Linked DNA regions of Saccharomyces cerevisiae S288C. The gene in region 3 interacts genetically with the main gene of each other region. Each region holds a gene or a part of one and is shown on either strand. Other genes may lie near its edges. The genes, in order: PAN6, AIM22, LCB1 and HGH1.

The links.
Region 1: mutations in LCB1 (region 3) and PAN6 together harm fitness more than expected from each alone (negative genetic interaction), as found in Saccharomyces cerevisiae (2 studies listed by BioGRID).
Region 2: mutations in LCB1 (region 3) and AIM22 together harm fitness more than expected from each alone (negative genetic interaction), as found in Saccharomyces cerevisiae (2 studies listed by BioGRID).
Region 4: mutations in LCB1 (region 3) and HGH1 together harm fitness more than expected from each alone (negative genetic interaction), as found in Saccharomyces cerevisiae (2 studies listed by BioGRID).

The regions. Positions count from the first base shown.
Region 1 is NC_001141.2:75,782-79,016, reverse strand, and holds PAN6 (pantoate--beta-alanine ligase PAN6), read left to right. Parts: upstream 1-1,733; coding exon 1,734-2,663; downstream 2,664-3,235. Other genes in the region: kinetochore-associated Ndc80 complex subunit NDC80, read right to left, coding at 1-943. UniProt on the Saccharomyces cerevisiae protein: Required for pantothenic acid biosynthesis.
Region 2 is NC_001142.9:350,793-354,178, reverse strand, and holds AIM22 (putative lipoate--protein ligase), read right to left. Parts: upstream 1,794-3,386; coding exon 564-1,793; downstream 1-563. Other genes in the region: cullin RTT101, read left to right, coding at 2,071-3,386. UniProt on the Saccharomyces cerevisiae protein: Catalyzes both the ATP-dependent activation of exogenously supplied lipoate to lipoyl-AMP and the transfer of the activated lipoyl onto the lipoyl domains of lipoate-dependent enzymes.
Region 3 is NC_001145.3:858,708-862,936, reverse strand, and holds LCB1 (serine C-palmitoyltransferase LCB1), read left to right. Parts: upstream 1-2,045; coding exon 2,046-3,722; downstream 3,723-4,229. Other genes in the region: carboxypeptidase C PRC1, read right to left, coding at 1-1,015; GSR1 (Gsr1p), read left to right, coding at 4,047-4,229. UniProt on the Saccharomyces cerevisiae protein: Component of serine palmitoyltransferase (SPT), which catalyzes the committed step in the synthesis of sphingolipids, the condensation of serine with palmitoyl CoA to form the long chain base 3-ketosphinganine.
Region 4 is NC_001139.9:869,660-872,995, reverse strand, and holds HGH1 (Hgh1p), read left to right. Parts: upstream 1-1,579; coding exon 1,580-2,764; downstream 2,765-3,336. Other genes in the region: protein kinase BUB1, read left to right, coding at 1-952; transcription factor IIF subunit TFG1, read right to left, coding at 3,015-3,336.

The DNA.
Region 1 (3,235 bases), on a different chromosome or scaffold from region 3:
TTATGTGAACGAATTTTTCAAAACCTAACTTTAGTTCTTGCATCGAAGGCTCATAATTATCCTCAAGTTTCAAAAAGCTTTTGTAAGACTCTGTAAAATAATCAATTAACAGTTTCTCCACCATTAGCTCATATCTTTCTTGTCTTTGGTCCTGTTCGTCCAAAGTCTTTAAAGGCTGGCTCAGAATTGTTATTTCTTGTGTATTTTGATTAATTAATGAACGATCTACTTTATTCAAGCACATATCCAGTTTAATATTTGTTCGTACCATCCAATGCAACATGCCAAGAAATTTGTGCCAATTAGAGCCACCTACAGCCGAAATTTGTGATTTATTTATTGACTCTAAAAACGGATAACGCAGATTTTTTAAAATTTGATAGATCTCATTCTCGATAGACTTAGTAAAGCCGTAACCTGGATCGAGTCTTAAATATAACCACTTGAAAATGATAATAAACCCCTTTTGAGTGGGTTGTTTTAGAAATTTTATTGAAATGGGATGATTTGTTTCAATATCAAATTTATTCTTTTTCAAATAGTCATAAATCTCCTCTTGAATAGCGCTTTGGAAGTTTTTGTCTCTTAGTGGCCTTGGATCTCTATTGCTCAGATGTTGCTGCAGGCTGCCAAGTTGATTTATTGATAATCTGCTGACGCTGTTTCTACTGTTGGATTTGTCATTTAGAGCCAATGCTGTACCATTTGTACCTCCTGCAACCGTGCTTCTTGTCCTCTTATTTTTATTTATGCCTCCTGTGGGAATGCCAGTCCCGCTTATTGTATTCCTGGCAATACTCTTATTGATCATGTCGGTTAGACCTTGATTCGTGCTGTTTCTTCTCCTCAATTGTGACGATGTTGCAGTTGGTATTTGGGACGTAAACCGATGAGGGTCCATGTGATGTAGCACATGTTGATCAGTACTTGTTGAGCTTTGCATTTATAGAAACGGGTATCTCTTATGGAATATATTATAGTACACCCTAACGTTTAAAGAAAGGAACGTCAGTTATTTTTCTTGTTCCGTTTCAATTTTTTTTACAGGGACGATTCTACCTCTCCTGTGAATGTATTCCAATTATTTCTACCATTTTTGGTGTTGTTTGTTTATTTTAGGAAATATTAGTTTTGTGACTATATCATTCCATACGTTATCTTTTTTTCTTTTGGCACTTTCAGTATGGGTAACCCTTGAAATGGTATTTTAACCGCTAATCGCAATAGACTGCTTACATCTTTAACAATACTTAACGGGGCTCTCAACCAGCCCATAATCACGATATTATTTCAATGTTCAGTTATAACCATCTGGCACATAGTACGGTGAATTTCTCTTCAATCCTAACATCAGTAATGCTTTTCGGACCTCCAACCGTCTTTCCTTTGCATTCACAGTCTTTCCCTGACAAGAGCCCTGCTACTATTGACCCTACAGAGACCTTCTTGTGGCGAATTGTTGCTCTTTTTACTTTCTTACTGATGTAAGTTAATTAGAAGGAGTGATATCTGTAAGAGTGGAAATTAAGCGCCCATCTTTTTTATAATGTTGGCTGAACAGATATCCGGGTAAATGTTACTTTAACGAGTTTTTTTCTTTTGTCATATTTTCCAACAAGAGATTAATGAACATTTCTCGATGTAGCGTACATATTTATGTGTACAAGAAGTGGTGTGTGTTGATACTGCACTGTTTTATACAAGTTTTTATACTGCATATCCATATAGAATTGATGAAAATCTTCCATACTGTCGAAGAAGTTGTTCAATGGAGAACACAGGAGCTGAGGGAAACTAGATTTAGAGAAACTATTGGGTTCGTTCCCACAATGGGTTGCCTGCATTCGGGTCACGCTAGTTTGATCTCGCAGTCTGTGAAGGAAAACACCTATACTGTGGTCAGTATATTTGTAAATCCCTCCCAGTTTGCGCCAACGGAAGATCTAGATAACTATCCTCGAACTTTGCCAGACGACATCAAATTGCTTGAGTCGTTGAAGGTGGATGTTCTATTTGCTCCTAATGCACACGTGATGTATCCACAGGGAATTCCGCTCGACATAGAAGAGCAGAAAGGCCCTTTTGTTAGTGTTCTTGGATTGAGTGAAAAATTAGAGGGGAAGACGAGACCTAACTTCTTTAGGGGCGTGGCAACTGTCGTGACTAAACTATTCAATATCGTTATGGCGGATGTGGCTTATTTTGGGCAGAAGGACATTCAACAGTTCATTGTTTTACAGTGTATGGTGGACGAACTGTTTGTTAATACAAGGCTACAAATGATGCCTATTGTAAGAAACAATAATGGACTGGCTCTGAGTAGTAGAAACAAATATCTTTGTCCAGAGTCTTTAAAGATCTCTGAAAACCTTTACCGCGGGCTGAAAGCTGCGGAAAATGCTATTAGGAGACTAGCACCAGGGGGACGTCTCTCCAGATCAGAAATCATCGATACTGTGACTCAAATATGGGCACCCTACGTTGATTCCCACGATTTCAAAATCGACTATGTTTCCTTAGCAGATTTTAAGACTCTTGATGAACTCTCCGATGTTGAAAACACCAGCGAACAGCAGCCAATAGTCATTAGTTGTGCTGTATACGTGACTGACCGCGAAAAACCCGATACGGTCGTCAGACTAATAGATAACATCGTTATTTAAACTAGGTGATTGGGCCTTCCCGTGTCTGTGTTGCAGTATATACCACTCTTATACAGTATGCACGATATTCTTTTAAACCAACAACGGGATGATAGATTTCACGCTTGATGACTTTTTTTTTAGACGGCTGAAGGGACGACATCCCCATCGCTCAAAACACAAATATGGAAAGGACAAATCGTCTTTCACAGTTTGCATAGTAAAAGCAAAGTTTATACTACTTCAGCAAAGTTGAAGTTGTTTGGCACTTGTTTCGTGCTTTCTCAAATATCTTAGATCACCGTCTGTCTAGAGCATATATCTATTGTTTGACGCACCCCTTTTACAAAAAAAAAAAAAAGAAACAGATCTATTAAGTAATAAAAAAGTTATTTAGGAAATAAGGTGCAGTAAGCTTCCTGAGGCATAATCATTATACTTTTAAAATCTATATTTTTGGGTTATTGTTGAAATATTTTCTTACAAAGCCCATTTCTCGTTTTTGACAATTTTTCTTATCAGTTGTGACTTCTCTTATCGATAAGCAATATTGAAGTCCTAATCACAAAAGCAAAAAAAATCTGCCAGGAACA
Region 2 (3,386 bases), on a different chromosome or scaffold from region 3:
TAAGAATGTTGCTGAAAGGACTTTGAGTGAATTGTGAACAGTTTGATAATTATTGGTCCAAATGGCGACATTGAAGACACAGTGTAAATTATTCAATGATGATTTGGCCTGGTTTTTACAAATGATTTTATCGACGTCAAGAGGATACAGTTCAAGAACGGTTAAGCGACATTGACAAAAAATGCTCAAAAACCACTGGTGCAACTTTACTGGTGGCAGTTTTTTGAAGTGAAAAGGAACTTTATTCTGGAGCGGAAGAAATTCAATAAATGTCACCACAATACCGATGCTATTCTTAGATGATCGATAAAATTAAGTACTATCTGTCGGTTTCTCAAATAACAGTATAAATATTTAGTTCACATTTAGAGACGGCTGAATCGTAACAAAATATAGTTCTTATAGATCTAAAGTACGAACACTCCTAATGTATCGCTTATATTGAAGTTTGCTGTGAATCTAGGACGCGTCTGCTGAAATATGCTGAATCAGTTTCCGGTGAAAGACTTTAATTTTGATATTTACCTACGTTATTTACAAGTGAATTGAAATATTCATCAACGTTATGTGTAACTGTCAATATTCTCCAAAAATCCTTTGAATTCCAAGCCGATTAAATCATTTCTATCACAATCATAAATCATGCCCTTTTCGACTTTAATTGTTAAGCCTTTATCTTTAATCTTCACTGAAAATTTAGGCCCCGAGAAATATTTCCATTGTTCGCTCTGTAAGGTGTTCATAGCATCTTTAATCTCATCGTTTATAGATTTAAACTCGTCACAGTAATATATAGGTATTTCGCCGTCAACTTTGAATGTTTTCTGAAAACGCTCGGATACCACTGCAATGAACTGATTAGGAGTAATTATACCAACATTTTTGATTTTTGATTTTACACTATGAACTCCACTTGACTCCCATTCCATATTGTTCGGTAGTGAGGGTTCTAATAAGCCGCTAAACTGTTCTAAATCCGCATTAAGCAACATCGTTGCATGATGGTATGCTTTGCCACCGGCAATTTTATAAGCACTGCCACTAATTTTAAACCCGTCCTGAATAATATCTCCTCTCTCATTCAAATCTAGTCTTAGTTCGGGATTCAATGAATTTAACCACTTAATTATCATTTTGTTGAAAAACTTTGTTTCGAATTTCTCCCTTGATGTTAAATATGAATAATTAACATTGCCCAAATCATGCAGTACAGTGCCACCTCCAGAAAATCTTCTAAGTAGTTCGAAATTCTTACTCTTCAGCTTAGCAAGATCTACTTCCTGCCACAGATTTTGGTTTTTGCCTATAACGGCGCACCTATCATTGATGTAAAATAACAGTCTGCAATTATCGGGACCTCTTTTGGCTCTTGGTGTATTCTTGAAAACATAGTTTTCAAGGGCCAAATTATAATAAGGACTGGTGGATAAACTTTGTATAACAAATCTGCCCTTTGCCTTTACTATATTTTCCAATTGTGAAGCAGACATGATCTGTTTGGCATATCCAATATTATAGAAATTGTACAAGTCTTTATTAAAAGCACTGATATCTTCTTCCATAGAGCTGGCCTTCGTCGTATCATAATCAGATTTACCTTCATCCTGCAAAATTGAAACGTTATCATTTGAAGGTGTAAACATGTTTTCATACATTGAGTTTATATCATGATATTTATCGTCTGCGTCTTTTGCCCATCGTGTAAGTGTGTGAAATAAAGTGGTGCAATGTATGAGGTTTCGCTGTCCCACATATCGAGGGGAGAGTGCCCAATTACTTAGCATCATAGACATAATGTAAACATCAAAGAAAAGTCTAGTGTTTTCTTCTTTTGTATTCATCAAAAATTCTACATACGTGAGCTCGGAGATTTTTGGATGTTCAATATTCCTGATTAAGTATGACGAAGCGGAACGCATAGCTATCCTTTGCGTAATGATGAATATGAACAATGCGAATGAAGATCATCGATATCTTTGCACTAAAAGACTACTTTGAAGGAATCCTCAAGATATTAAACCCACCAATCTTTTTTACTGGTATAAATTCTCGTACGGGTTCACAGGAACAATGATAAATGAGAGCGTTTCCAAGAGAGAAGGATTCCACGAGTCTATAAGCAGAGAGACGAGTGCAAGCAACGCTTTAGGACTATACAATAAATTTAACGATGAGCGAAATCCCAGGTATCGAACGATGATTGCTGAGCTGCACGAGTTTTTTCACCTTACTTTAGCTGAAACTATAACTGAAACTGACGTGAAAGAATTGGAGTGTAATAAAGAAAAGGCCGCTAAATTTAGAAAGCTAATGCCTAAGATGTTGAACAATTGCCGTGAATTAACGCAAAGGAAATCATACATTCCTTACAACTCAGAATTTAATGGGAATGACGAAAAGCAAAAGAAGTTTCAGCTGCTACATCAACACCAAATTGTGCTGAGTTTTCAAGAATTTTGTGATGAATTGGCAAAGTTAATAATTGACGCGCACGTCCTTAGCTTTTTGACCAGATGCGACTATTCTTATGAAATTATACCCAAAAATTGGACCTCTTTTTACAAGCTATTTCAGTACGTAATGGGTGCCGTTGGTCCTATTATATCGTATGTGCCGGTAAATTATCCCATGATAAGAAAAGAACTAGGATTTGAGACCTTAACGATATTTCAGTATTATGATTCCAAACTTTTCGAATGTATGAAGTCACATTTTGGAAGGGAATTTTCCACCCTTGTAAGCGCTACTATTCATCACTATATTCATATGTTTCCAATAACGAATACAATGTTAGAGAAGGAAGTTCCTATGCTCCGTATAATGTCTAACTGCAATTTTAGTATAGAGGGCTTGAGCCCCAAAGATTTTTATATGAAAACTCTCAGACAATATTACTGTGAGGAATCAAATTTAAGGCCGAGGCTGGAAACTTTCAAGAATTTTAAGGTACTATTGACGAGGAATGCATTATTAGCATCTTTATTTTCCCCTGAATGGGTCAGCGATGCAAATGACCTATTTATAAGCCATCTACTGTTGAACAAGAAGTCTATTAGCGAATACATAGAAATTGGGAAGGACACTTATGATGAAGAAAAAGAGAGATATTTCAAAACTGAGACACACTTTAGCTTATTGATGTTTAGAAATGCTTTTGAAGCAAAAAATATGCTGTCAAAATTCAAGGAATTCTGTGATGATGCCGTTTCAGAAAAGTTAAAGGCAGCATATGGATCCAATCATGATACTGAAAGGCTATTTGATGAGGTAGTTCAGCTAGCTAATGTAGATCACCTCAAAATATACTCCGATTCCATCGAGTACCATTTATGTAATTTACTTGGAAGTACCAGCAAAGCCATAGAACAGTATGTCAAATATTTTGA
Region 3 (4,229 bases):
GCGAGTCATAGCACGACTCGATCAAGCCCAAACAACGTTCCAAAGAGTCTTCCATAGCAGAGCATTCCTCCGAGGGCAAAACAGATGGTTCGCCACCTTCACCACAGGCCATTGGTTCGTAATAGTTATACTGAGTCAATGGGTCAGTGAGGCCATTTCCGATCAAGACGGAGGTTAAGTTGAAGTTTCTGTCCTTGTGAGACAAAATTTCAGAGGCAAAAACAGGGATGTAATGGCCGGCGTAGGATTCCCCAGCGATGTGGAAATCTTGGCCCTTGTTGACGTATTCAGGGAACTGATCGAAGAACAACTCCAAGAAGTTATAGACATCCTTACCAGCGGCGACAGTGTTGGAAACACCTGAGGACCCGGAATACGAGAACCCAACGTTGACAGGCTGGTCAAGGAAGATCACGGTGGCATTGCTGTTCCAAGAGTAAGGGTTCCCGATGGGTTTCAAATCAGGTCCAATGGATGAGGGTCCTAATTCAAAGAACAGCCCGGTTAGTGAAGAACAACCTGGACCCCCGTTCAACCAAAGGATGACCGGATCCTTTGCAGGATCGTTTCTACTTTCAAAAGTCCAAAAGAAGAAATGCTTGTCCTCGTCTTCCACATCCAAGTAACCCGTGTACTGTGTGACATTTGGGTCAATGCCCAGGATTTTAGGGTCCTTAATCTTGTTGACACGAAGCTGATAGTTTTCAATTGCGTCATTCTTGACCACAAAGTCCCAGTCTTTCTTCGTTTTGATTGCTTCAGGGAATTTTGGCTTAGTGGAAGTTTCAAGGCTCATAACCTGGTTTGGGTACAAATGCTCTATTTGGGCCCAAGCGTCCAATACATTGGAGTCCAACTCCTTCAAGAGATGATCCAGGTCGAGGTCCAAACCAAATTTTTCCGCAGCTTGCAGCAAAACGTCCTTATCTAGACCCAACGGTCTTTGCAATGAGATGGCCTTAGCGAGTGTAGTGGACAGGCCTAGTCCACATAGTAAACTGGTGAATGCTTTCATAGCGTATGTATACTTTAAGTTGAGTAGAAAAGAAACAATCTCTAGTGAGTATTCTTTCTCTCTCTCTCTCTTGTCTTGTTAAGACTAGGAGGGAAGACGAAAAGAATTATTTCGGAGCTTTTTTGCTGGCATTCTTATCTCGTGCTTTTATTAGTGGGCCCCTTCTTTGAGACCCCGCGGGTGATATGGCCCCTGTCTCAATGATGGATAAAGTTGTTGGAAGCAATTACCAAGACAATCACAAACGAAGGTTGCTACCGAAGTGTACTGGATGACCAACATCGCTATGATTAAATAAGACTATACATAATAGACAAGGGTGGCGCGGCTCCATTCCCAGGGAGACACAAACACGAGGTAAGTCTCAAAAAACCGAAGTTTCGCTCTAAAACTGCACGTAAAGGTCGTGGTATTGACTACAACCATTGACTGTTACATTGTGTAGAAGAAAGGTCCTCACATACTGCTCTGTCAATATGGCTTCTTGTGCAGAAGGTCAATATGTACTATTTCCATGAACCCACAAAATAAGGGAAAAAAAACACTGGAAATAACCGCCACACATACCGTATAAAAGTACATCTCTTTATACGAGTTACTTACTAGACCCTAACCAATGCCTTCAAAAAACAGGACAGACCCTAAAAACTACCATAAGAGACCTAACATATGTATCATCATATACGGAAATCGATTTCGCGTATTTTTTTTTTTTTGAGGCGCCATGATTTCTTACACGGTTTCTTTTTTTTTTCCTTCTTTCCTTCTTGCTTCTCTGCTAACAAATTTTTCACTCATTCTTTTTTATAGGGGCATATTGCTGCGGTTAACTGTAGTGAACGAAAGTAAGATTGAGAAAATATAGTACTTAAGAAAAAGAAAAGGAAAAATAAAAAAAATTCTTTTCAACATCATCGAGTAGCACAGTATAAGAGCGCTCTAACCTTCTGCCTGGCCTCCAATATACACATTTTGCTCGTGTAGGGTTATTTATCCTTTTTTCTTCCTTCCCACCCAAAAAAAAAAAGCAATGGCACACATCCCAGAGGTTTTACCCAAATCAATACCGATTCCGGCATTTATTGTTACCACCTCATCGTACCTATGGTACTACTTCAATCTGGTGTTGACTCAAATCCCGGGAGGCCAATTCATCGTTTCGTACATCAAGAAATCGCATCATGACGATCCATACAGGACCACGGTTGAGATAGGGCTTATTTTATACGGGATCATCTATTACTTGTCCAAGCCACAACAGAAAAAGAGTCTTCAAGCACAGAAGCCCAACCTATCGCCCCAGGAGATTGACGCGCTAATTGAGGACTGGGAGCCCGAGCCTCTAGTCGACCCTTCTGCCACCGATGAGCAATCGTGGAGGGTGGCCAAAACACCCGTCACCATGGAAATGCCCATTCAGAACCATATTACTATCACCAGAAACAACCTGCAGGAGAAGTATACCAATGTTTTCAATTTGGCCTCGAACAACTTTTTGCAATTGTCCGCTACGGAGCCCGTGAAAGAAGTGGTCAAGACCACTATCAAGAATTACGGTGTGGGCGCCTGTGGTCCCGCCGGGTTCTACGGTAACCAGGACGTTCATTACACGTTGGAATATGATTTAGCACAGTTCTTTGGCACCCAAGGTTCCGTTCTGTACGGGCAAGACTTTTGTGCCGCACCCTCTGTTCTGCCTGCTTTCACAAAGCGTGGTGATGTTATCGTGGCAGACGACCAGGTGTCATTACCAGTGCAAAATGCTCTGCAACTAAGCAGATCCACAGTCTACTACTTCAACCACAACGATATGAATTCGCTAGAATGTTTATTAAACGAGTTGACCGAACAGGAGAAACTTGAGAAACTGCCCGCCATTCCAAGAAAATTTATCGTCACTGAGGGTATTTTCCACAACTCGGGCGATTTAGCTCCGTTGCCTGAGTTGACTAAGCTGAAGAACAAGTACAAGTTCAGACTATTTGTTGACGAAACCTTCTCCATTGGTGTTCTTGGCGCTACGGGCCGTGGGTTGTCAGAGCACTTCAACATGGATCGCGCAACTGCCATTGACATTACCGTTGGGTCCATGGCCACCGCGTTGGGGTCCACCGGTGGTTTTGTCCTGGGTGACAGTGTTATGTGTTTGCACCAGCGTATTGGTTCCAATGCATATTGTTTTTCTGCCTGTTTGCCGGCTTACACCGTCACATCCGTCTCCAAAGTCTTGAAATTGATGGACTCCAACAACGACGCCGTCCAGACGCTGCAAAAACTATCCAAATCTTTGCATGATTCCTTTGCATCTGACGACTCCTTGCGTTCATACGTAATCGTCACGTCCTCTCCAGTGTCTGCTGTCCTACATCTGCAACTGACTCCCGCATATAGGTCTCGCAAGTTCGGATACACCTGCGAACAGCTATTCGAAACCATGTCAGCTTTGCAAAAGAAGTCCCAGACAAACAAATTCATTGAGCCATACGAAGAGGAGGAAAAATTTCTGCAGTCCATAGTAGATCATGCTCTTATTAACTACAACGTTCTCATCACAAGAAACACTATTGTTTTAAAACAGGAGACGCTACCAATTGTCCCTAGCTTGAAAATCTGCTGTAACGCCGCCATGTCCCCAGAGGAACTCAAAAATGCTTGCGAAAGTGTCAAGCAGTCCATCCTTGCCTGTTGCCAAGAATCTAATAAATAAAAATAGAAAGCCAGTATATGCACACGCACATATATATATAAATATTTATACAATAATACAAATAATCGTAACATCATCTCTGTCAAATTGACGTGGTGCACGGCGCCCAGAGAATGCGCTAAAAATTTTCGGATCCGAAATTTTCTTTCCTTTTACCATCGAGGCAAAGCAACCTGTATTATTTATTTGTTTATTTATTAATAGAAAAGAAAGGAGTACTTTCGTGGTACGCTTTCTTGAGCATTTTCGGTTTCACTAGGCAGAGAACTAACACAAGAGACACAGCAAACATCAAACAAGGTTAAAACAGCACACCAAGGCAATATGATGCATTTTAGAAAGAAATCCAGTATCAGTAACACGAGTGATCATGACGGAGCGAACCGTGCCTCAGATGTCAAGATTTCTGAAGATGACAAGGCAAGATTGAAGATGCGTACTGCTTCCGTTGCTGATCCTATTCTAGACGCTGTGCAGGAAGCCCAACCTTTTGAACAAGCTGCTGAT
Region 4 (3,336 bases), on a different chromosome or scaffold from region 3:
TTGTATACGCGGAGAATTAGGCGAAGGAGGTTATGCCACTGTATATCTAGCAGAATCTAGTCAAGGACATCTGCGAGCGTTGAAAGTAGAAAAACCTGCAAGTGTATGGGAATATTACATAATGAGCCAAGTGGAGTTTAGGTTGAGGAAGAGCACAATATTAAAGTCAATAATCAACGCTAGTGCTTTACACTTGTTCCTTGATGAGAGCTACCTTGTTTTAAACTACGCCAGTCAAGGTACGGTCTTGGATTTAATTAATTTACAACGGGAAAAGGCAATTGACGGCAACGGAATAATGGATGAATATTTGTGCATGTTTATCACTGTCGAGCTAATGAAAGTACTTGAAAAGATACATGAAGTGGGAATAATACATGGCGATTTGAAACCAGATAACTGCATGATCAGATTAGAAAAACCAGGCGAACCCCTGGGTGCTCATTATATGCGCAATGGAGAGGATGGCTGGGAAAACAAGGGAATCTATTTAATAGATTTCGGTAGATCATTTGATATGACACTGTTACCACCTGGAACGAAATTCAAATCAAATTGGAAGGCTGATCAGCAAGATTGCTGGGAAATGCGTGCGGGCAAGCCATGGAGTTATGAAGCGGATTATTATGGATTAGCAGGCGTCATACATTCGATGCTTTTTGGAAAATTCATAGAAACAATCCAGCTGCAGAATGGACGATGCAAATTGAAGAACCCATTCAAAAGGTATTGGAAAAAAGAAATATGGGGCGTTATATTTGATTTACTGTTAAATAGCGGTCAAGCTTCCAATCAAGCTTTGCCGATGACTGAAAAGATTGTTGAAATAAGGAATTTGATAGAAAGCCATCTGGAACAGCACGCAGAAAATCACTTAAGAAACGTAATTCTAAGCATTGAAGAGGAGTTATCACATTTTCAATATAAGGGGAAACCGTCAAGGAGATTTTAGTGAATAAATATGCCTTCATCTCCCGCATAGGTGACTTTTTGGTGTCCTGCCAGATTCCATAGCAATGACAACACAACTTCAGGTAGAGCCAATTGTAACATTAATATATAAAAGGTAATATAAAACTAGCAGGTTCTCAGGTTGAGTAAATATATTCTTTTTTAATCTTGACATCTGTCACTTATGGAAAAACAAGTACCAAAAAAATGGCGATAATGTTATGATATTATTTTACTGAAGCTCTTCATACATCGAGTATGTAGCAATTGCTCCACTTGTTACCGCGAAAACTAACAAGAATAAAAAATAGATGTCTTGATTCGCAATTCGCAGTATATTTCATCTAATAGCTGCAGAGCCAATTGGGATGTTACTGGTAGTGCTACCTTTCGATGTGTTCTGTTATCACCCCAGACGATAATTATTATTGTAGATTTTTCCCTATTCTTCCTCGAAGGGCTTTTTCAAATTTTTTTTTTTTTCATTTTTTCATATTGAGCTCTCTCATCTCATCCATCAATTTATGACGCACCTACTCTAATAACGACAAGTTTATTCTTCTTAAAACGGTATCAATTTAATTTAAAAATTAAAAATAGCTCAAAAAAATCAACAAAAAATTGAGTGATGACTTCACAATTGAATGAATTAGTGGAATTTCTGCATTCACCACAACCTGCCGTAAGACAGATTGCCATTGATAATCTAGTTGGATTTAGTGCTGGTCCCACTTCAAAAGTTTTCAAAAATGATAGCTACAGACCCATTAAGGATATAATAAAAATGATCATGGATCCAGAACACGGCACCCGTGTTATTATTCAGCAAGGTGTCACTATATTGGTCAATTTATCTGAAGACAAGTTAGTAAGAAATATTATATTGAGCGATGACAAGAAGTTCTTAAAATTTTTGGTTTGGAAAATTGTCGATTTAACCAATCCAAATGCCGATATAATGTGTATCTTATTAAGCAACTTAGCCAAGGATGACGGCATTCTTGCTGTTCTGAATATCAAAAGGAATTCAAGCGGTGAGGAGGTCGATGATGGTTTGAAGTTAGCAGCTTTAAATAAAGAAGTTTTCAAAAGTTTGAGAGCCATGGATTGTTTAATGGATTGCTTTGTTAAGGGTTATGATAAAAAATTAACAAAATATGCCAGTTTCAATTATTTAGCCTTTTTTTTTGCGGATATCTCGAGGTTTAAATTGGGCAGGATGTATTTTATTGAAGAGCAGGAATACGATGGGGTTGTTCCTATTTCAAAATTGCTAGTATTTACCGAAAAATATGATGCAAAGGTAAGAAGAGAAGGTGTCGCTTCCACAATTAAAAATTCCCTATTTGATTCTGAAACTCATGAAAGGTTACTCAAAGATGAAAAAATAAACTTGTTGCCTTACATCCTGCTACCTATTGCTAGTGCTAAAGATTCTGAAATTGATGAGGAAGATATGTTCAATTTACCAGATGAACTTCAATTATTACCAGAGGACAAGGAAAGAGACCCGATTCCTGCAATTATATGCTGTCATTTAGAAAGTATTCTTTTGCTATGTACAACGCATGCTGGAAGAGAATACTTAAGAGACAAGTCCGTTTATCCACTAGTGAGGGAGCTGCATAAAAACGTTGAGAATGAAGATATTGGTGAATTATGTTACAGAATTGTTAATATGTTAATGAGAGGCGAGCCAGGTGCGGGAGCAGTGGAAGAGATGCCATCAAAGAATGCGGAAGAGGAAGAAGAGGAGGAGAGTGAAGAAGAAGAAGATGACGACGAAGAAGATGAAATTGTCGAAGTGGCCTAGGTCACTTTCAAGGACAGTTCACATAGCATAGAATTGTATAATACAGAAATAACAATATATTAGAGTTTAGTAGAATTCTGAGTCTTTTCTCAAAAAAAAGGCAGAAAAAAAGACTAGATAAAAAAGTATACTTACTGCAACTAAAATGACAGTATAATGTAACTACATAAGATTAAATGGAAAGAAAAAGGAAAGAATGAAAAGAACGAAAACTAAATAACCTATTAAGTACATAACATTATAAACTAACCTACTCTTTCTTTAATTCCATGTGGTCATTGCCAACCTTTCGACACAATTTTTTTACAATGGCAAACATTAGCTTTTTATTCTCTGCGCCAGGATATTTTCTTCTGATGAACTTTCCAAACTCTTTGATATTGACTTTGCCATCACCAATAGCCTCGATGATATCTTTTTCTGTTATTGTAGGCGCTGGAGTTTCTTCCCTTTCTGCCACTGTAGAATTCAAGCCTTCCTCTTGTTTGATTGGCGAAGGCACTGTATTCGATGCATTATTACTACTATCTACAGCTTTTGTCGTCTGTGGATTCCATTCTCCCTCTGGGAAG